Linked DNA regions of Sus scrofa. The protein of the gene in region 2 binds, or shares a complex with, the protein of the main gene of each other region. Links are inferred from orthologs where the notes say so. Each region holds a gene or a part of one and is shown on either strand. Other genes may lie near its edges.

Region 1 (3,007 bases), on a different chromosome or scaffold from region 2:
CAGCCCTATGATTTGAACACTTCCCTTCCTCCCCATGTTCCACACCAATTCCTTAACCATCCTCAATGTCTTAAAGAGCCTCAGAGAGACCTGGCGGGCCCTCACCTGCAGGAAAGAGCAGGCGGTTCCCATCGTCACGTCCAGAGTCACCTTGCCCAGGAGGAGCTGCACCTTCCCTGACTTGCGGATGAGCAGCTTGCCAACCTGGCCCTCTGTCAGGTCAGCCAGGGTACAGGTGTTCTCTGCCAGGCGGGCTTCCTATGAAGACAACCAGGGGATGGAAACCAGGTAAGGAGCCGTCTCTTCCATCCTTCAATAATGAACCCTTTCCTACAGGAAGGCAGCAGCAGCAAAGGTGAGAAGGAGCTCCCCAGGGAGTTCCTGTCATAACACAGCGGAAATGAATCTCACTGGTATCCATGAGGATGCAGGTTCAATCCCTGGCCTCACTCAGTGGGTTAAGGATCTGCCTTTGCCGTAAGCTGTGGTATATAGGTCACAGACATGGCTTGGATCTGGCGTGGCTGTGGCTAGACTGGCAGCTACAGTTCCGATTCAACCCCTAGCCTGGGAACCTCCATATGCTGCGGATGTGGCCCTAAAAAGACAAAAAAAGGGGGGGGGAGCTCCCCAAAGAGGGCCTTTTCCTGGAGCTGCCTGCCATTGGTCAAAAAACCAAACCCCACCCACAGCAAACACCAGCAAAGGAGCAAAATACCAGCAACTGCTGCAGCTGGGTGATAGTACACAAGAATTTACGTTCTCTCATTTGTGTATGTTCAAAATATTCCATTGTGAAAAGGAAACACATACAATTGGGGTTGAAGTGCAAAGCCCCAAGGCCCCTACATGCAGAAAGAACAAATGCATACTGTTCTCCCATTTCAGGACAGGAGGCACACCTTTGCTTCCCCTAAGGGTGGTTGTGTCCCCTCTCAGTGCCCCCGCATCTTCACAGAACTCATTCCCGAGCATACCCGGTCTTTCTCCTGCTTTATAACCACCATCTGGCCATCCTCGCCCTGCACCTCCGTCTTGACAGGCTTGATGTCCTGAGTGGGTGGCTGGCCAGGGAGCGAGTCTGGCAGCTGCAGGAACAGCAGCTCTTCCTCCTGTGTGAGGCTCAGCTCCCTGAGCAGCTCTGCCACAGACACGTCCTTCGGTAGGCTCGGGGTCTTCCGGGTGGCTCTGGGAGGAGCCTTCACCTTGGTCTCCTCCTCCTCATCTCGTGGTTCTTCTTTCACTGCCCAAGACAACAGAAATGGAAGTGCTATCAAGTGGCCATCACCCATGATCTCACTGCACCCACCCCTTCGCCTCGGTCTGCTCCACTGTCATTCAGCCAGGAAGCTGGAAGGAAACTCTGTTTACAGAGAAGGATCCAGGAGTTACATAAAAAGAGGTATCTGAGGCTGGGCCCACCAACTCCTGTTGCCAGGAACCTGCTGAGAGTGAGAATTTAGTGCCCGTGGCCAGGTCCTGTATTGACGGCTGGACTGCCTTATGAGTTGGTCTGGGAGGCTCATTCCCAGAGAGGGGGTGGGGCAGGCACAGAAAAGGAAAGGAGACATTAACTGACACAGAGTACCTTTCACAGCAGGCCCGTCCACATCCATGTCCTCTTCCTTGTGGCCAGGAAGCCAGGGTTTAACATCTGCTTCTTCATCCTCTTCCTTAAAAAGCCAGCCTGAGTGAGCCAGTGGCAGTTGCACAGGTGTATTTCGAGTGTCATTCCTTAGGCCAGGGTCATCGATGAACTGTCAAAGAGGAGCCAAGGGTCACACAGCCAGGCCCGCAAACACATTTGCCTGGAGTGCAGTCCACGTTCGCCCCTTTTTTCCCCCACCTTAGCCTTTTTTTTGGGGGGGGGGTCTTTTTGCCTTTTAGGGCCACACTTGTGGTATATGGAGGTTCCCAGGCTAGCGGTCCAATCGGAACTGTAGCCGAGGCCTACACCACAGCCACAGCAACGCAAGATCTGAGCTGCATTTGCAACCTACATCACAGCTCATGGCAATGTTGGATCCTTAACCCACTGAGCAAGGCCAGGGACCAATCCATGTCCTCATGATGCTATCCGGGTTCACTAACCACTAAGCCACGACTGAGAACTCCCCACCTTAGCCTTTTCCTAATTGAAGATTCCTGCTACTCACGGGGCTTTCAGGACATCAGAGCTCTCTTCTCCCCGACCTGGCTCCCCAGAAGCCCCTTCCCCCTAGCCTGATGGTACCTACATCATCCTTCTCCAGCATACGCAGGATCTGTTTTGTTTCTTCGTCCGTCTCCCTCTTCTCCTTTTTGATGTTGATGATGTGAGAGGGCCCAATGTCTGACATGTCCACGGTCTTATCCCAGTTCCCTGTGGGAAATGACGCAAGTAGTAAAGAAGGGGCCAACAGCAAGGAGGCATGTCCAACATGCCAACAGCAAGGCCAACATGTCCACGGTCTTATCCCAGTTCCCTGTGGGAAATGATGCAAGAAGTAAAGAAGAGGCCAACAGCAAGGAGAGCTAACTGGGAGCAAGCAGGGGAATGCCACTGCCCTTGCCCTCCTCGTGGGCAGCTGGACCTGAAAGCCACTGATTCCTTCCTCCCAGAGCCCCGGCAGCTTTGTACCCTTCTTCTTCATCATTTCAGCTGGGCCCTGCTCAAAGATGGAGTGGGACTGGATCACTTCTGGGCGCCCCCGGCCCCTTCCATGGCCCTCTCGCTGTCGGTCTCTATCCCTTTCACGCTTTTCCTTCTTGACTGCTACTTCTTCCTTGGGCCTGGAAAAGAGAAGGGGCAAAATAAAACCACTCACTTCCCTGCCTCCGAGAACTGGTCTTACTTTCCCACACCACTCCGTTCCAACTGTATGGAGAATTTAATGAGCCAACAAGTACATCATGAGAAGCAGAACCCCCAATCCTAAGTCGAGCATCTTTTCACTTGCTTGATGAGGTGAAGTCCTTTCAGTTTACCGTTGCTTTACCTTTTTGTTCGAGATCACGTATTAGAACT
Region 2 (3,500 bases):
TAAGGGCTGTATACCTAGACCAACTCATCTCAGCCCCCAAATAACTACGAGGTTAGGTATTATTATTCTTCTTCCCATTGTACAGATAAGGAAATGGAGGCTCAGAGAGATTAAGTAACTTGCCTAAGGTCACACACTAGGAAACAGCAGAGCTTCTGCAAGTCTGACCCAAAGTCTAAGGCTCTGTCAACATAAATCTGTCTGGAAGTTTCCAGAGAAATCAGGAGCTGCTCTCTCCCAGTCGTTATAGCTAATATTCAGTTGCTTCCCTGACTCAATACACAATTCCGAGGACTGGGTTCTAAGTCAAAAATAGTAAAAATCACCCTTGGCAGGTATGCAGTGAACTTGGCCATGGAACAGATGGCCAATTCTCCATGGAGCGCCCAGTGAAGCATCTAGCTTTCATTCAGGAACCATGATGCAAAAAGGTACATAACCAAACACCAGGCCCACTCTGAGCCTAGCAAGATGCTCACCCTCAGGAGAGCCCAGGTGGCCACAACCCCCACCAGTGACACAGCAGGCGCAACTCGCTCAGAGCACACACCAGGTAGAAAGGCAAGAACGGAGGACAAACTGTCCACAGACGTAACCCCTCTCCCCGTGGCATTACCAAGTGGCTACAGCTGAGTCTCGAATAAGTTAGAGTCAGTCAGGCCACAGGGCACACTGCCTGGGCACCAGCTCACCCTCAGGCCGCAGTAGTGCAGGTGCACCCAGGGCTCCTCGGCATGCTTCTTCTGCAGGAACTCATAGGATTGCACGCGCCGCTGGCGGGCCTGCTCCGACTCCGGCCGGGAGAATCGCACCTGGGAAAGGGGGGCAGGGTCACAACCTGAGGCCTGGGACACTTCCTGGGTTGCCGCCTTAGCACCCACCAGGAGGCCAGGGAACCCTCCGTCTGGAAAACTTCCCACTCCCCCCAGCTCAGTCTGGGCAGAGGTTAGACTGTCCCCCCCAGGCAGTCCGGCAGGAAGGCACAAAGAGACGGGGCCTGTTTCTGCCGGCTTCACCCCCAGAGCCCAGCTCTGCGCTGACCCTCCCAACCCTGGCTGCCTCCAGGCGGCTGAACTACCAAGCCGGCCCTGCTGCCCCCGAGGCTGAGCTCTCTCTTGCGGCCTGAGCTCACCGTGATCTGCTTCACATCTTCTTCTGCCTCGTCCTGTGAAGAGTCTCCTGCTGCAAAGGGAAAAGCCGTGTTTGCAGCCTCTGGTGGTGGCTCTCCACTCCACCCACCAGGCAGGCCTCAGACCACAGTGTCCATGAATCCTCCTGCTAGACAGAGCATTAACCACTGCTTAAGTCGGTGGTTCTAAATTAGGGGTGACTCTGCCCCACCCCCCCACCCCAGCCCAGAGATATTTGGGAATTCAGAGACATTTCTCACTGTCAAAATCATGGGAGTGGGGGCCACTCACAGCCAGTGGGTAGAGGATGCTGTAACCCACCCCTTTAATACTTTTTCCCATGAGCAGCCCATCCAGACACACGGCAGGGCTGGGGGTCTAGAGCTCACCCTCATTAGCGGCCTCCCTCTCACGGTGCTTGGCGTCAGCCTTATCCAGGTAGGAGAAGCTGGGCCGCAGCTGCAGGATGCCATGTAAAGGTGTCAGGTGGAGCTCACCTGGCAGAGGAAGAAGGGCTTGGACCTGACTCTGGGAGCTGAGGCTGACCCACCCAGCTTGGCTCAAGGGAGTTACCAAGGGCCCCAGATTCCCTTAAAGGCCTCGGCCCACTACCAAGCCACCTCCCACCTCTGCTCTAGTCCCAAGTCTTAGGCTGATGGCCATTCCCAACCTGATGAGGCCCCTTTAGGCACAGCAAGCACACAAACTGGATGGAGACATGAACCCAGACCTCTGCTCAAAGCCACTTCCTTAAGGCTTGCCTACAAGCCCTCCTCTGCCAGCACTCAAGGGCCCTCCGACCCTGGTCCCCACTCCTCTCCCCACAACTGCTTATTGCAGCCATACTGGGTGACTTGTCCACACCAAACACGCCCTGCTCTTTCCCCCAGTCAGGCCTCTGCCAGACCACCCTCTCTGCCTCCCTAACCGCCCCCACACATCCTCACCCTCCCACCTCTTCCTGTCAAAATTCTGCCCATCCTGGGAGTTCCCATCGTGGCTCAGTGGTTAAAGAATCTGACTAGGAACCATGAGGTTGCGGGTTTGATCCCTGGCCTCGCTCAGTGGGTTAAGGATCTGGCCTTGCCGTGAGCTGTGGTGTAGGTCACAGACTAGCAGCTCGGATCCCGTGTTGCTGTGGCTCTGGTGTAGGCTGGCAGCTGCAGCTCCGATGAGACCCCTAGCCTGGGAACATCCATATGCCGTAGGAGTAGCCCTAGAAAAGGCAAAAAGACCAAAAAAAAAAAAAAAAATTCCACCCATCCTATTAAGAAACTGGCTAGTGAGAATGGGGCTGGAGAAGAGGTCTGGCGGAGCCAGGTGGAGGAGTGTCTACACCATGGCCTTTTCTTGTGAATCAAACCTGTGCACTGGGAGCCAGTGCAAAGATAACAGATTTCAATCGAGTCAATGTAAGCTTAAAAGAGAAGAAATCAGACAGAAGCTACAGCTCTGGGGAAGCTCTCTGGGCCTCCAGAGGGAGCAGAACTATATCCTTGAGACATGGGTTCGAAATAGAAGAGTGTAGGAGTTCCCGTCATGGCTCAGTGGTTAAGGAATCCGACTAGGAACCATGAGGTTTGATCCCTGGCCTCGATCAGTTGGTTAAGGATCTGGCATTGCCATGAGCTGTGATGTAGGTCACAGATGCGGCTCAGATCTGGTGTGGCTGTGGCTGTGGTGTAGGCCGGCAGCCGTAGCTCCAATGAGACCCCTAGCCTGGAAACCTCCATATGTGGCAGGTGCAGCCCTAGAAAAAGACCAAAAAAAAAAAAAGAAGAGTGTAGTTATTTGACATTACTTTTATCCTATCCTGGTTTATTTCCTTAGTGTTTTATCTTTTTTATTTTATTTATTTATTTATTTATTTTTCTTTCTGTCCTTTTTAGAACTGCACCCGAGGCATATGGAGGTTCCCAGGCTAGGGGTCTACTGAGATCTAATTCACACACCATACAATTCACCCATTTCAAGCATACAATTCAATGTATTTTAATGCATTCGTAGAGCTGTTCGACCAGCATCGCAATCAGCTTTAGAATATTTCCACCACCCCAAAGAGAAACCCTGCACCCATCAGCAGTCATGGCCCATTCCCCTTTCCTCCCAGCTCCGAGGAACCACGAATCTACTAACGCAATGGGTTTGCCTATTCTGGACATTTCCCGCGCATGGAATCATGTGACAGGTGGTCCTTTGTGCCTGGCTTCCTTCATTTAGCTTCAATTCCAAGGCTCACCCAGGATGGAGTGTATCAGTACTTCTCCCCTTATGACAGCTAAAGAATATTCTAATCCACGGCTATGCCATGTTTGGGTACCCATGCAGCAGCCCAATGGACCTCTGGAGCGCTTCCACTTTTCTCTACCA
Region 3 (4,188 bases), on a different chromosome or scaffold from region 2:
AATCAGCTCTCCAGTGTCACTGTACAGCGTTTTGGCAGTATAGATGTACCGGGGATACCTAAGCATTCGCAACACCCGGCTGCACTGGGCTTCATACTCCACCACACCACGTTTGTGCACTTGATATATCACCAGGTTATGCTGGATGAGGACACAAAGGGCTTTTTTAACCTAGAGAGGACACAAAAGAAAGAGAAAAAAAAATTGGAAAATGCAGTTCATTATTGTTGGCAATTTCTGTCCAACAATTTACTAAACTTCAGGAGATGGCTGGAACCTCCGTGCATCTTCTCTCTCTCCATTGGAATAGCTGTTAAGAATCGCATTGTTCATCTTATGAAGAAATCAGGAGGATTCCTAGCTCATATTTCCTCTGATCTTTATCTTACAAAGTACAACTTACTTGCTCTCTGTTACTGCCATTCCTTAAAGGTAGTGCTGAAATTAATAGACTCATCATGCATGAATGAAGTATGGCAAATGAAAAGCACAGGTTTGCCTAAGAAGCCACAGTGAGCCAGATCGCTTTGAGAAGCAGAACCTTAGGCACTATGTCTCATCCTCTCTCCCTCCCAATGACACTGTTCTGATCTCAGTGTAGCTCTCTTTTGTATTTTGTGGGGTGGGGAGTAGTAATATTCAAGGGTAGGTAAAGGAAACTAATGAAATAAAAGCAAATTAGTGTGATCCAAACATACCTGATCCAGCGATGTTCTTGTGTCATGGGCAATAACTCTTAGTGGCTGGCTGCCAGTTCTGATTAGGTGGACTCCAATTTTTTCTACAATCTCTCCAAAATGCTCTTGCAGCAATAAAGAACACAGTTTAATTTCTGCTTGAGTCATTGTACTGAGAAGTCTCAGACCTGAGAAAAGAAAAGAAAAGAAAAGAAAAAATAGCACGATGGGAAGTTTTTCTTTTATGTTGGAGTAGAGCTGCTAAGTGTAAATTCATGTACTTTTTGGAGGGCAACTTGACAGTAGATACGTCAAAAGCCTTAAAATCTTGCATATCTTTGACCTAATACTTTTGCTTTGGCTATTTTGTTTCAAGCGAATAATAATGATGTCACTTTAGAATACTGACATTCCAGAAACAATATAATATCTAACAATACGGGATTATTTCAATAAATTATGGTAGACTCATACAATGGCATACTACGTCTATGTTTACAATGAAGTGTAACATGTATTAGTGTACAAAATTGTTCATTAAGTGAAAGAAGCAGGTTACAAAGCAAAATGTAGAAGAAACTTAAATTATTGTGAAAAAAAAACCCCCTTTTTTCTTATAGGTATAAGAAAAAAAAGACTGCAAGACAATATATCAAACTTATCCTTATGGGATGTACGAGTCCAATTTTCTTTAAATATCGTGTGTAGATGATTTTATTTGGAGGAATTAAGGACACTATTCACAGCCTATTGGGAGTGAACAGGAAGTGTCATTCCCAATCCGTAAGAAATGACAACTTTGCAAAATAAATTAGGAGCGTCTCAACAGAGTGTTTCAAACAACAGATGAAGCATGTTGTTGGCAGGGCAGTATTCTGAAATTTCTACTCCTTGACAAAGTAGACACAAAAAGAAACAAACATAGTTGACTATAAAATCACTTGTTGTCATAAGTGCTACCACACACTGGTCTGTTCATTTATTTCTCCCAATCCCTCAGAAGCCAAGACTGTGTCTTTCAGTCTCAGTATTCCCACTCACAGGTCTTTGGGGAAGTATCCCCAGACCATCTGCCATCCTTGATAAGGATTTCCAAGGAACCTGGCTCCTGATTCTACACTTCCTTCCCCCAGGTTCCGGTTCCGGACTGGGTCCCTGGGTCTAGAGAAACGGCCTCATTCAGACCGCATTTTCCACTAACCTCTGGGTCAATGCAATCTAAAGCCGCCGCCGACCTCGTGCGGCTCCAGCCAGCGGCTCGAGCAGAAGGCACCCCAAGGCCCTTTTGCGCAGGAGCCCGGCCAACGAGGAGGGTCAGCAAAGAGGAAAAACGTGTGCCGCTCTACCCCAGCGTTTCGGTGGTTTCCGGGGACGCTCTTGCTTCCTTCTCGCTGGGAGGTTGGAGGACCGGCGAGGGGTGTTAGAGGAGCCGGCGGGAGGGCAGCGCCGGACGGACTCTCCTTCCTGTAGCTCTTTGGTGCCGGGAGGCGGGCCGTGGGGTCGCCGTCCTCGCCGACGCCTTGTGGGCCGGGCGGGCTCACGTGACCCGCGCGGACTCTGGAGCGGCCAGCTGCGCTGAAGAAGCGGCGGCGGCGGAGGCAGAGGCGTCTCTTGTAGCCGGGAGGTAGCGGCCTGGGGAGCGACGGGCCGGCTGCCCTCTCGGACGGCGGCGCCGGGAGAGAAAAATGGCGGAGGCCTCGGCGGCCGGGGCCGGCGCAGGCGCCGCTGTTGCCGCGCACCGGTTTTTCTGCCACTTTTGCAAGGGCGAGGTCAGCCCCAAACTACCGGTAAGAGTGTGTGTCCTCTGCACGCCAGCGTCCGCGTGGGTTCCTCGTCCGGATGTCCCAGAACGGCGCTTAGGCTTCCCGCACAGCCCCGACTCCCCTGACATGGGTATCCCAGGTACCTGCTGCCCACTGTCTCCTAAACCCCGGGCGTCCGGGCTGTGTGGCTCAGTAACTCCCGCCCAGCCTTTTTTCCATTCGGATGCTCCACCTGTCCCTCACTCTTTCCCCTTTTTACCTGCCCTCTATTATTTTTTTTTTCCTGGTTTTCCTTAGCAAGTTTTCTGCTGACCCCCTCCTCTCCGTTTTCTTACATTCTTCTTCACCTTGTCTCTTTCCACAATGACCTCCCCCCCCCTTCCGCTGTTGCTTCTCATCTTTATTTCCTTTTCCACTTTTCATCAGATCTCCCCTTCCACTATCCTCATTGAAGCAATATAGCGGATTGCTGAGGATTGTCTTTATTCATTGTCTCTAGGGAAGGAGGGAAGAAAGCGGGGCGGGGGGGGGAGGGAGGGTTGGAAGGTAACTGGGCAGAGAGGGGGATTTTACTCTTCAGGGGTTTCCAGCGTTCTTGTGAAAGTGAAAACAGCGGTGTACTAATGACTTGCGGACTGCGATCCCAATCACTGTCGAAGGAAATGGCTTTAGGAAGAAGGCAGAACATATTCTTTCAACTCTCTTATTTTGGTTGTCATGCTGCCAGTATCTTTAGCACCACCTGCCTTACCCGCCCCTCCTTCCCCTCCCCCATTCTCTCTCTTCACTTAGTGAGAAGATCTAGGACAGAATGTTGGGGACTGCATCCTCTGACGTAAAATTGGTTTTCGTCAGTTTCTGCCAGACTGTGTTAGCCCCTAGAGAGGTAGTGCTGTTGGCTGTGGAAAAAAAGTGCTTCTGCAGCATGCTTGCCAGCTATTGCACCCCAAGCCCAGAGGCTGTTTTAGGTTGAGTTACTACTGCAGGGAGATCCACCAGGGTGAATGTTAATCCTACCTTTGGCCAACCATCTTTAGAACTAGTTATGGTTGTTCTTTTCCTTAGAAGTATCTTTGTTCAGCCTTAAGAGGGTGTCTGTGTAACTACTTATCTCAGTGTTTATAGTGTCTCAGATACAATCTGTGAGAAAGCCTATTAAAGTGTGTCTCTGTGTCTTAGTTCTTAGAAACACCAGTGGAGTCCAGTGAAAAGTGCCTAAACAGTATTTTAGCCTTTTCACTTGAGTTGTGCTTTTTCAGGCTTTTGCTGTATTTTCTTTCTTCTCTATTTGCCCCACCCCTAACTTCATGGTCGTAGTTTCATCTACACGCTCTTTTAGTTTTGCTTGGATGATTTGGCTGTGTGTCTGTGTCTGTGTGCTTTTTGCTATACTTCAGTGCTGAGAAGAGCAGGTGCCGTGGCTTGTTTGTTTGTTTGTTTGTTTTTCCAGTGGACATTGGAGGCTCCAGAACTCTTCCTTACCACAGAGAGGGAGTCTGGAATTCAGCCAGTGCATGTGTGATGAGTGACATGTTGAATGTGATGCCCTAATGAACAGTGAGGCCTTGGCTATTCTGATCTTTAAGTTGCTGTTCACCGTTTGCCTTTGAGAGTGAGAAAACAGTCTAACTTTCCTCCACTTACTGTATCTTTTCTCCCTACCATCTCAAGTCCTCACTTCAAAGTGCTCTTGAAAAGGGCTCATTTGAAAGACTTTTTAGGTGTTTTTCTAAGCCTTAGTTTGATGC
Region 4 (3,500 bases), on a different chromosome or scaffold from region 2:
TTAATTAACTATTTTAATATCTCTTTTGTCTATATTTAAAAAATGTCAGTTTTATTGAAAAATCACATTTTACAGGTAGTAAGTTCTTCAGCCAACCTAAAAGATTTTGAGCTTTTATAATCTATAATCTATTTAATTTTGTAATCTTTTCACCCATTTCCTACTTTCTGCTTATTTTAGAAGTAGGAAAGATACTTAGTTTTCTATCTCCCCTAGTTTTCTTCCTGATCACACCAATAACCATTCTGTTATATAGTCTTTTGACTGTGCTTCTATATTTAAAAATCAAGGCACCCAAATAAGAGCAACTGCTGTAGAGTCCTATTAATCTCAATCAGTAGTAGTGCTACTGGGAGAAGCAATAGCATTAAAAAAAAAAGAAAAAAAGAAAGAAAGAAAGAAATAGTAGCAGATACCATTTAACCAGTGGTTACTACAACCTGGATATACTTAATATTCAAAATTCATGTTCTCATGTAAAGTATCATCAATATTTCCCCTTTTACAGTGAGAAAAATGAGAACTGAATAATCCATAAGCTCACATAACACATAAATGGCAAAGGAGAAATTTGAATCTGTATCTTCAATTTTAAAAAATTACATTCATGCACGCATATGTATACATGTATGTATATATACTCATAATATACATTCATAAAAAAGTGGGTCTTCAGGGTACATAATGAAAACATTTCTGGTTTTAAAGGCTAAGTATAGGGTACATTTAAAAATTTCACTCTGAATTTATTCATTCATTCTACAATTATTTACTGAGTTCCTACTATAAGCCACACATGGCTGGACAACAGGAGACACCACGATGAACTCCTCAAAGTTCTTGCCTGCATGAAATTTACATTCTAGGGAAGAAAAACACAGTAGGAAGTAAACAAATGAGGTCATACATAACTTCAGATAGTGCTAAGTGGCATAAAAGGACTGAAGCCAGGAAGAGGAAAGAGCGACTGACAGAGTACATGGAAGAGGCTGGTCTAGGCAGAGTAAGCACCCATCCTCTTGGGGAAGTCATGCTCGAGCAGAGATCTGGATAAAATTAAGAAATGCGAAACCAGTGGTTCCAGCCAGGGAAACCAGCAGAGGAAAATGCCTAAGGGGACGAAGAGACTAGGATGGCTAAGGAGAGAAGGACAGTGGTAGGAAAAGGGTCAGAGAAAAATCAGAAAGGCCAGAGCAGATAAAGCCCTTTAAGCCAGTAATAAGGAATTTCAATTTTACTCCATATATAAAATGACAATATGCACCAACATTCCCAGGCTTTAGAAGTAATCTCCCACATGAAAAGGAACTTATTTTAAAAGAAGTCAGTGTAAACTGACATTATGTCTATACCTGAGGTAATTATCTTTGTTTTTAGGCTGTACTGAATATCAAAAAGGCAAAATATCAAGAGCAAAAAGTATACACTCCCTATGTGAAACATCTAGATCCCTAATATGTTTGTCCAGGGTCCTCTACTTACATAAATCTTTCAATAAAGGATGTTTCCTTTTGAAAGAGGGAAAAGATTCTTGGAGGGAGTACTGGGTTATTTATGATTTTTTTCATATTTTATACTATAGCAAATATGCATCTAATAAGATAAGCTTACTTTTTTTTTTGCTGCGCCTATGGTATGTGGAAGTTCCCAAGCCAGGGATCAAACTCACACCACAGCAGTGACCCAAACTGCTACAGTGACAATGTCAGATGCTTAACCCATTGCACCACAAGGAAACTCCCTGTAAGCTTACATTTTAAACTAAAGTGAAAGCACTAGATTAAAAATGATGCCAATTAAGTATGCAGTATACTCATTACTAAATGTAATAGATGTGCTTATGTTTTGATAAACAGTAATAAAATTCAAACTGACTTTAATAAAATAAGGAAGAAAAAAAAAAAAAGTTCAGTGGGGAAAAAAGGCCAAGTGGTATACTAGGAAACAAAGTTAAATTTATGGATACAAGATGAGAAGAAAAATCATTAAATGAAGGTCAGACATAATGGGAAGTAAGGACCACTGTAAGATCTAACTGTATTTTTAAAAATATTCTGACATTGGAATGTATCATTAATAGCACTAGAAGATATAAGAATTGAGAAACAAATTCTTTCTTAATTCACAAAATACTGAATATATTCAGGGAAAGGTATATATAGGTTTTTGAATTTTTTTTTTTTTTTGTCTTTGCCTTTTCTAGGGCCTCTCCTGCGGCATATGGAGGTTCCCAGGCTAGGGGTCTAATCAGAGCTGTAGCCTCCAGCCTATGCCACAGCCACAGCAATGCAGGATCTGAGCCTCATCTGCGACCTACACCACAGCTCACAGCCAATGCCGGATCATGAACCCACTAAGGAAGGCCAGGGATCAAACCCACAACCTCATGGTTCCTAGTCGGATTCGTTAACCACTGAGCCAAGATGGGAACTCCAGTTTTTTGTATTTTAAGAAAGCATGCTGATAATTTGAAGTGGTTCAGTAGACTTGTGGCTGCCAGGAGGGGGCTGGGAGAAGGATGGAGTGGAAGATCGGTGGTAGCAAATGTAAACTATTATACATGGAGGGGATAAACAAGAAGATCCTGCTATAGAGCACAGAGAACTATATTCAATGTCCTATGATAAACCATAATAGAAAAGAGTATTTTCTAAAAAAGAGTGCATATATGTATAACTGAATCACTCTGCTGTACAGCAGAATACACTGTAAATCAACTATACCTCAATTTAAAAAAATTAAATGCAATAAATAAAGGAGTTCCCTGGTGGCTTAGTGGGTTAAGGATTCAGCACTGTCACTGCCATGGCTCAATTGTTGCTATGGTGTGGGATCCATCCTTGGCCTGGGCATGCTTTTAAAAAAAAAAAAAAAAAAAGGAAGAAAGAAAGAAAAAGGAAAGGTTCAGAAAACAGTGAATAAATTCAAAGGTAAGTGAAACATATCCTCCTTTACTCTTTTATATTCTCTTCTTTTCCTTGTAAGAGGGTAAGAAGATAACATAACGATATACATTCAAGTCCTATATACAATTTAAATTTTGTCTGAAACATGAAAAGACATTCTGAGAATTTCGCTGTTAATGTACTTACAGGAAATAGTGGAGGTGGTTTCAATACAACATCGGGTAACTTTTCACCTCTGCTAAATCCAACTGCCTCGATGTTAAACGTATAAGCAGCACGTCCTCTTCCTTTATTCCCAGCCATTGGAAATTGTTATACCAGAAAAGTAGGCAAATTCTGAAAGACATTATCAATGATTAAGATTTGATGGATCACATGAAAAATGAAACCAACATCTTAAAACAAAATACACTTCACTCCTTAAACAGCATGGCCCATTTGAAACATTTCTGGAAAGCACACCTTGTAAAGGCATAAATATGTGATATGCTGATCCCTGATCCTGTCACATCTAGTCATGTTTGGTAGGTAAGATGATGATGGACTCAACTACTTCACCTACATCCTGGGTAGAGGGCTGACCCTGGGTCTCCT
Region 5 (3,500 bases), on a different chromosome or scaffold from region 2:
TTCAACAATACACAGAAAGGATCATACAGCATGATCAAATGGGATTTATTCTAAGGATGTGAAAATATTCAGTATGCACAAATAAATCAGTGTAATACATTAACAAAAGGAAGGCTAAAAATCATGTGACACTGTCAGTATGATCATGAAAAAGCATTTGACAAAATTGAACATCCATTCATAATAAAAAAAAAAAGCCTCATTGAAGTTGTTATAGAGGGAACGTGTTTTAACATAATAAAAGCCAGGGAGTTCCTTTCGTGGCTCAGTGGTAAACGAACCCTACTAAGATCCCTGAGGACATGGGTTCAATCCCTTACCTCACTCAATGGGGTTAAAGATCCAGCATTGCTGTGAGCTGTGGTGTAGGTCCCAGACAAGTCTCAGATCCCGAGTTGCTGTGGCTGTGGCGTAGGCTGGCAGCTGTAGCTCCGATTTGACCCCTAGCCTGGGAACTTCGATATGCCATGGGTGTGGCCCTAAAAAGCAAAAAACAAAAACAAAACAAAACAAAACAAAAAAAACTTTTAGAACTGAGAGTTCCCTTGTGCCTCAGTGGGTTAAAGTTCTTGTGTTGTCATTGCTGTGGCACAGGTTCAGTCTCTGGCCTAGGAACCTCCCTGTGCTGCAGGTGCATTCAAAAAAACCCTAAACTATTAGAACTAATAAATGAATTCAGTAAAGTCACAGGATCAAGATTAATATCTGGACATCTATTGCTTTTCTATACACTGATAATGAACTATCAAAAAGAGGAAACAAGAAAATCTCACTTAAAAATCACATAAAAAGAATAAAATACTTAGGAATAAACTTAACCAAGGAGGTGAAAGACCTAACTCTGAAAACTGTAAAACACTGATGAAGGAAATGGAAGATACTACAAAGAAATGGAAAGATGTCCCATGTTCATGGACTAGATATAATTAAAATATCCCTGTTACTCAAAGCAGTCTGAAGATTTAATGCAGTTCACATCAAAAATATCCAGGACAGTTTTCATGGAGCCTTCAGATTGGCCTTTGTGGTTCAATTTTTCCACTTCTGGGGCCGGAGTGGGAGGAAAGTATTGCTGTTAAGCCATTTATGTAAACCTGATTCCAGGTCATGGGTCTGCTTGGCCTTAACCCATGGAAACGGGGCTTCTCTTAGCCATACTTCCCTGAACTGCTGACAGCCCAGTGGTCAGCCATCTGGGTTCTTCCAAGTTCAGAACCAGAGAAATGCAGAAGCATGACAGACATGCTTTATTTTACTTTTGACTTGTATAAAAACAAAACTACTGCAAGCCTTTTATTCACTGGTCGACTTTTCCACCTAATTTTCATGTAACATTTCAGAAATCACACACATCAGTAAATGTTACTATTAACTTTGTAAATTTTACTTCATCACTTTCATAGACTATTTTTGCATGTTTAGCTTTTATTTGAACATTTTAGGTAAATTATTGTATTTATATTTGATACACTTAACTGAATTTGCTTGAATATGGATTTTTATTTGTTATTCTGACTTTTGTTTAAAATTCTTTAAAGCATTGATCATATAACCAAGCCAGGATCAAGCATGTAGAAAATTATTAGGTATTAATGTTTTGGGAAATGATGAGATAAAGAGCTAAGTTCTTAAAAATATATCACATGTGATACGTAGGAAGAAGCTTAAGTCTCAAGTGAGAAACTGACAAATAACTATGGGAGGTAGGATATTTTAATCCATATAAACTATTGAAGAATATATTAATGTGTTTATCATTGGATTTGATCTATCTCCCAAATAACTCACTGCTATTTTCTTTTAAAAACAAACAAACAAACAACTTTAGGGTCAGTTGGATCTCTTAAGAAGCAATACAGGCCTTCTGTATAGAATAAAGGACTCTCAGAATGCTGGGTAAGCACCTAATTTTTTATTTTAAGAAAATTTTAATATCATGAAAGGAGTATAAATCTGGGGGGTGGGGGAGCCAGTGCAGCATAAAGTAAAGCATAATGTAAATCTGTCCTACATAATCATCTCACCTCCCATCATGAGTTCCATTTCCCAGAGATAACTGCTCTTATTAATATAGTGGTATATATCTTTCTTATAGGTATATGTAAATACATATAGATGATTATATATTTATATTCCATATATTTATATATAATCTCTTATAGGTATATGTAAATACATATAGACGATTATATATTTATATTCCATATATTTATATATAATCTCTTTTCTTTTTTTTTTTTTTTTAAACAAAAATTGGATCATGCTATCCATACTGTTTTGCAACTTGTTTTTTTCACTTACTATATCATGGACATCTTTTCATTCTGGTACATACAGCCCTGTCTCATTCTTTTTAAGGTAAGCCCTTCTTTTGGTAAATCAGTAAATGTGATGACCTTGTCTGCTGATTCATTTAGTTGTGTAGATTATTAGATTATCCTGTACCTCTTTGCCTTTTTAATTCTACTTTATTCCCCTGCAGTAAAATGAAAGGATCAGATAATCAAGAGAAACTAGTATATCAAATCATAGAGGATGCGGGAAATAAAGGTAAGCATGTGCAGGAACAAGCAGAAAAAAACCATCGTCTTTAGGACCAGATATAGGAACTGAGATCCTGGCTTCCCAGGGTATGGATCAGTCAGGAGAGTATGCAGCCATTTGTGTTAAAAGGGGAAAAAAATGTAAAAAATGTGTGTGTGTGTGTGTAATGTACATAGGCTTGAAGGACACTCAGGAGTGATGCTTTTGTTGCCTGAAGGGAGACAGGGACCAGATGGCTGTGGGTAGGGATGGAAAGAAATGTCCAAATTCTGAATCATGTGAATGTATTATTCATTCAAAATAAATAAATTAAAACTTAAAACTTAAGGGCTTTTTTGTTTGTTTGTTTTAGTTGTACAATGATCATTACAACCCAATTTTATAGCATTTCTGTCCCAAACCCTCAGTGCAAACTTAAGGGTTTTTTTTTTTAATATTCACTTTCTTTTTTTTTTTTTTTTTTTTTTTGTCTTTTTAGGGCCGCAGCATCAGCATATGGAGGTTCCCAGACTAGGGGTCTAATTGGAGCTGTTGTTGCTGGCCTACGCCACAGCCACAGCAACTCAGGATCCAAGACTCATCTGTGATCTACGCCACAGCTCACGGCAATGTGGGATCCTTAACCCCTGAGTGAGGCCAGGGATCAAACCCGCAACCTCATGGTTCCTAGTTGGATTTGTTTCCGATGCGCCACAACGGGAACTCCAGTATTCACTTTCTAAATTTTAGAAACCTTTATTTCTTCCTTTCCTCTGTAAATTGTGGACAATAACATCTCTGGTTTTTGCACAAACCAGAGGATGCCTAGTGCAGTATGGCAGTGTCTGATGTAGTTTCTTCAACAGCTATTTAGTTCCTTTTCTATTGCCCTTGAAGACTATAGTAGCCCTTGCTAATATTATAATTTAAGATCTACTTGAGTCACCGATATTAGCTTCAACAATTATGATGTAACC
Region 6 (4,232 bases), about 18 Mb from region 2:
GTCAAAGCCCCATTTTCTTGGGTGTGCCAACATATAAATAAATGTTTACGAGCGTCAGCTGGTGGCGAGAGAAAGCTCACTGCCCACTAAACGGGAAAGATGGATAACAGGACCCTAAATAAGACGCACTTGGTGTGGCCACTGCCCCCAAACACAAGTTCTCCCTGGACGTCAGCAAATTCATCCACTGCCTGGGCGATGGGGGCCATCTCCTGGCCCCCCGGCCGGGCCACTCTGAGAAGGCTGGCTTTCTGCCACACCGGCAAAGATGCTCAGAACCCGCAGTTCCCTTCCAGCTGGGAATCCGCCCTGGGGAATGAGGTGAGCAGATGCTGGGCAGCGGGGCCACCCGGCCCTAGTCCCTCCAGCGGTGTCCACACTGAGCATTGCAGCACTTGTAGAAGGTGGTCATGGGCTCGTCGGCAGAGCGGGTCTGGAGCTGCATGAAATAGGCCCGAGGATGCTCACACTTGGGACACGGCTCTGGCGTGAGAAAAACAAGGGACCCACGGTTACTTCAAAAAGGATGCCCAGTGTGGCACAGAGGCTGAAGAATCCGACTGCAGCGGCCTGGGTTGCGGCTGCGGCGCGGACCAAGTCCCTGGCCGGGGAACTTGTGGCATGTGGAGGTAGCCCAGAAAGGTCACGGTCATAAGGCAGTAAGCCACCTCAAGATTCGAAATCAGGTCTGAACAGCTCCAAAGCTTGTGCCGACACTGGTTTTGGAACAAAGAAAGTATCAAGGAAGGAGTTCCTGTTGTGGCGCAGCGGAAACGAATCCGACTAGGAACCATGAGGTTGTGGGTTCAATCCCTGGTCTCACTCAGTGGGTAAAGGATCTGGCCTTGCTGTGGCTGGGGTGGAGGCCAGCGGCTGCAGCTCTGATTAGACCCCTAGCCTGGGAACCTCCATATGCCGTGGGTGGGGCCCTAAAAAGCAAAAAACAAACAAACCAAAAAAACCACCACATGAATAAATAAAAATTTCTAAGAAATTATTAAGGAAGAAAATATAGACTTCCTCTTCGCAGAAGCACAAGCAGACTGCCACGGAGGGGCAGAGTCAGCAGCCCCGTACCATCCACAGCTCTGCCCGGGAACAGGCCTCTCCCTCTCACCTGCGGTGGAGTCGACGTTCTCCCAGGCAGCTGCTCCACCAAGCACGTCATCCACTTCTTTCAGCTTTGGGTACTTCCGATTCGTTACCTAACAAACAACAGCCACTCTTCAGTCTCTCCAACTGACTGAACCGCACACCCCAGGATCACCTAACCACACCTGCCCGCAGGTGTCTGGCTTCTTCCACCCTTCAACCCGGACGGGAGGGGTACTGGACAGGCAGAGGCCCTGCTCCATCAGAACTTAGAGGACCCATGATTGGACTGCCCCAAGAGAAGGTCTCTGCAAGGACTGGACAAAGCAAGAGGAGCAAGAGAAGCATGGCTCGGGTATGGCCCTCCTCTTCTCCCACACCCCCTAAGGCTGGGTAGCCCGAGACGAGGCCCCAGAGAACTGAGGCCAAAGAAGGGCAATCTCAGCCGGGGAGCCGCCCCCCCCCCCCAGGCTCCGGGCAGAGCTTTCTAAGCACTTGCCAGGTTCTACCAGCCGTCCTTGACCTGTCGGGGTAGGTAAGAGTCCACCCTCCGCGTCGTTTCAGACCCTAAACTCCCACAACACGGCCACATGGCAGGACACTATACAAATCTATACAAATACTAAGGAGAAAGTAGCACTTGGGAGTTCCCTGCTGGCTCAGCGGGTTACCGCCCTGGTTCTGTCCCGGTTCTGTCGCTGCTGTGGTGCAGGTTTGCAGGTGTGGAAAGCGACATAAGCAAAAGAAATCTTGGTGACTCCATTTTGCTGAAATGCCTTCCTGCAACCCCCCCCCCTTCCCTCTTCTCCCAGTAACAGTTTGTTTCAAATTAGCCAACTGGGAAGAACGTGCACCCTGACCTGACCCACGGGAAGGGGACAGGGTACATCCCCTGTGTTAGGGATAAACAGGGGAGGGTCCTTTGTTCGGGGCACGCGCACTTTTTGGGGTGCCCAGCGCCCTTCTGCAGCAGTAAAGAGCCTTGTCGAGATCTCCCCGTGTTCACGTGCCTCATTTTTCGACAATGACGATCCGAGCCACGTCCCCAGCACAAGGAACTTGTGCATGCCAGGGTGCCGGGGGCGCGGCCAAAACAAAAACTAAACAAACAAAAAGAAAGAAAGAAAAGAAAGTATACTGGAAGGCAGTGAGCCCTATATGAAAAATAAAACTAGGGAACGGAAAGGCCGCATTTATATAAACAATCCCTTAGGTAAATACAGGCAGGAGTGACAGGAACGAGTGAGTCCCTAGGGGAAGAGCGACTAGAACAGAAAACTCCTGCACAGACCCTGGAAGCAGCGCCTTGGGCAAGACCGGGGCGCCTCCGAGAGGCTGGCGGTGCGGGCAAGAGGCTGCTGGGACGCGAAACCCAAGCAGAGGACGGAGCTAGGGGAGGTGAGGGTCAGGGCCTGGCGCGCTCCGCGAGAACGACGGCTGCGGCCCTGCGTGCCGGGAGGCCGGCGCGGACCCACCTTGCGGGTGATGTTGTGCACATAGGGGCAGGTGTTGCAGGCGAAGCGGTGGCAGCGCTGACCCTCCTCCACAATCAGCCCGTTCCCGCAGCCTGGGCAGAAGAGCAGCATCACGACAGCCCAGCCTACGCTCCCTGCAGCTCCCTGGCCGTGGACTCCGGGGGCTTCCGGGCGCCCCGAACTCCCCATTGGTCCCGGCGGCCGCCTCTCAGCAATCAGCCCACCAGTAGGCACGTCGGCTCCGCACTCCCAGTGTGCACTGCGGCAGGCTGGCTCCCAAAGCATCATTTCTCATTGGTCCTGGCGGTAGCCCCGCCCCTCGACCAAAGGCCGGGCCGTGGGTGGCTTTCCCCGCGGGAAGCCCGGGAATCCCGGGCCCGGGTCGCGAGAGGCGGTGTGGGGGCGGAACCCGCGGGCTGCGAGGCGCCCTGGAGGTGGCGGGGGCCTCGGGACGGCCAGAGCCGCAGGAGGACGAGGAGGATGAGGAAGAGGCACTGCCGCACTCCGAGGCGGTGGACGTTTTCCAAGAGGGTCTGGCCATGGTGGTGCAGGACCCGCTGCTCTGCGACCTTCCGATCCAGGTGCGCATGGGTCGGGGCCTCTTCCCCCGCTCCGGAGCCCAGCGTCAGGGAGAGGACCGATTCTGGGGTACCGATGATGGCAGCGGCCCGGAGACCTCCAGAAGCGGCCTCAGGGCGTAAACGAGGGTCTAGGCTCCGACTGGGCCTGGGAGGCGAGCGAGGCACTGGTCTCCGGCGCGGCATTTACGAAGGGTTCCCTGGTAGTCTAGCGGTTAAGAACTCCGCCATTGTCACTGCTGTGGCTCGGGTGCTGCTGGGCGTGCGTTCGACTGGCAGAGGAACTCTCGCATGCTGCGGGCATGGCCAAAAAAAAAATAAAAAAGGAGCGCCAAAAACCCGCTAGTCAGGACACATGACATTTCAGTATAGTGTTTTGGTTGGTTTAGGAGGTTTTTTGTTGTTTCGGCTTTTTGTTTTTGTCTTTTTAGGGCCGCACCTGGGGCATATGGAAATTCCCAGGCTAGGGCTGGAATCCGCTGGCCTACACCACAGCCACAGCAACTCAGGATCCAGAGCGGCATCTGCGACCTTCAACACAGCTCATGGGCAACGCAGGATCCTTGACCCACTGAGTGGGGCCAGGGATGGAAACTCCAGTACAGTGTTTTTAAAACTCAACATTGGTTTATAAAGACCTAGGGTAAACAAAATGATATCATGTCAGATAAAAAGACCAGTATTAAAGATTTCTGGAGTTCCCATCATGGCTCAGTGGTTAACGAATCCGACTAGGAACCATGAAGTTGCAGGTTCGACCCCTCCCTGGCCTTGCTCAGTGGGTGAAGGATCTGGCGTTGCTGTGAACTGTGGTGTAGGCTAGTGGCTACAGCTCCGATTAGACCCCTAGCCTTGGAACCTTCATATGCCGCCAGTGCAGCCCTAAAAAACCAAAAAAATGAAAAATAATAAAGATTTCTCCATTCTCCTCAGGCTTCAGTATGACCTGGCACACTCCTGTTTTTAAATCTTTGTATTTTGCCCATCATGAAAATGTTAAATTAGTTTGTTTTCTTGATAGTGGTATTCGTCTTCTGTTGCCCCGGTAAATGTTGCACCCCTGCCCCAGCCTTGCCTGGGGCCCCAG

The links.
Region 1: POLR3E (region 2) and POLR3D share a complex: the UniProt entries of both Homo sapiens proteins name them as parts of the RNA polymerase III complex. The link is inferred for Sus scrofa from reciprocal best matches to the Homo sapiens genes POLR3E and POLR3D.
Region 3: POLR3E (region 2) and POLR3C share a complex: the UniProt entries of both Homo sapiens proteins name them as parts of the RNA polymerase III complex. The link is inferred for Sus scrofa from reciprocal best matches to the Homo sapiens genes POLR3E and POLR3C.
Region 4: POLR3E (region 2) and POLR3G share a complex: the UniProt entries of both Homo sapiens proteins name them as parts of the RNA polymerase III complex. The link is inferred for Sus scrofa from reciprocal best matches to the Homo sapiens genes POLR3E and POLR3G.
Region 5: POLR3E (region 2) and POLR3F share a complex: the UniProt entries of both Homo sapiens proteins name them as parts of the RNA polymerase III complex. The link is inferred for Sus scrofa from reciprocal best matches to the Homo sapiens genes POLR3E and POLR3F.
Region 6: POLR3E (region 2) and POLR3K share a complex: the UniProt entries of both Homo sapiens proteins name them as parts of the RNA polymerase III complex. The link is inferred for Sus scrofa from reciprocal best matches to the Homo sapiens genes POLR3E and POLR3K.

What each region holds. Positions count from the first base shown.
Region 1 is NC_010456.5:6,524,013-6,527,019, reverse strand, and holds part of POLR3D (DNA-directed RNA polymerase III subunit RPC4), read right to left. Parts: intron 2,773-3,007; coding exon 2,238-2,772; intron 1,758-2,237; coding exon 1,589-1,757; intron 1,244-1,588; coding exon 978-1,243; intron 259-977; coding exon 106-258; intron 1-105. UniProt on the Homo sapiens protein: DNA-dependent RNA polymerase catalyzes the transcription of DNA into RNA using the four ribonucleoside triphosphates as substrates.
Region 2 is NC_010445.4:23,863,632-23,867,131, forward strand, and holds part of POLR3E (DNA-directed RNA polymerase III subunit RPC5), read right to left. Parts: intron 1,628-3,500; coding exon 1,520-1,627; intron 1,183-1,519; coding exon 1,133-1,182; intron 813-1,132; coding exon 693-812; intron 1-692. UniProt on the Homo sapiens protein: DNA-dependent RNA polymerase catalyzes the transcription of DNA into RNA using the four ribonucleoside triphosphates as substrates.
Region 3 is NC_010446.5:99,491,338-99,495,525, forward strand, and holds the start of POLR3C (DNA-directed RNA polymerase III subunit RPC3), read right to left. Parts: upstream 2,801-4,188; 5' UTR 2,465-2,800; coding exon of another isoform or gene 2,363-2,464; 5' UTR 1,879-2,362; exon of another isoform or gene 1,835-1,878; intron 871-1,834; exon of another isoform or gene 866-870; 5' UTR 846-865; coding exon 699-845; intron 172-698; coding exon 1-171. Other genes in the region: E3 ubiquitin-protein ligase RNF115, read left to right, coding at 2,363-2,464. UniProt on the Homo sapiens protein: DNA-dependent RNA polymerase catalyzes the transcription of DNA into RNA using the four ribonucleoside triphosphates as substrates.
Region 4 is NC_010444.4:97,658,256-97,661,755, reverse strand, and holds part of POLR3G (DNA-directed RNA polymerase III subunit RPC7), read right to left. Parts: intron 3,243-3,500; 5' UTR 3,210-3,242; coding exon 3,093-3,209; intron 1-3,092. UniProt on the Homo sapiens protein: DNA-dependent RNA polymerase catalyzes the transcription of DNA into RNA using the four ribonucleoside triphosphates as substrates.
Region 5 is NC_010459.5:26,725,839-26,729,338, forward strand, and holds part of POLR3F (DNA-directed RNA polymerase III subunit RPC6), read left to right. Parts: intron 1-1,828; coding exon 1,829-1,896; intron 1,897-2,337; coding exon 2,338-2,358; intron 2,359-2,482; coding exon 2,483-2,550; intron 2,551-3,500. UniProt on the Homo sapiens protein: DNA-dependent RNA polymerase catalyzes the transcription of DNA into RNA using the four ribonucleoside triphosphates as substrates.
Region 6 is NC_010445.4:41,570,297-41,574,528, reverse strand, and holds the start of POLR3K (DNA-directed RNA polymerase III subunit RPC10), read right to left. Parts: upstream 2,801-4,232; 5' UTR 2,757-2,800; coding exon 2,568-2,756; intron 1,206-2,567; coding exon 1,118-1,205; intron 484-1,117; coding exon 356-483; 3' UTR 1-355. UniProt on the Homo sapiens protein: Core component of RNA polymerase III (Pol III) which synthesizes small non-coding RNAs using the four ribonucleoside triphosphates as substrates. Can mediate Pol I proofreading of the nascent RNA transcript.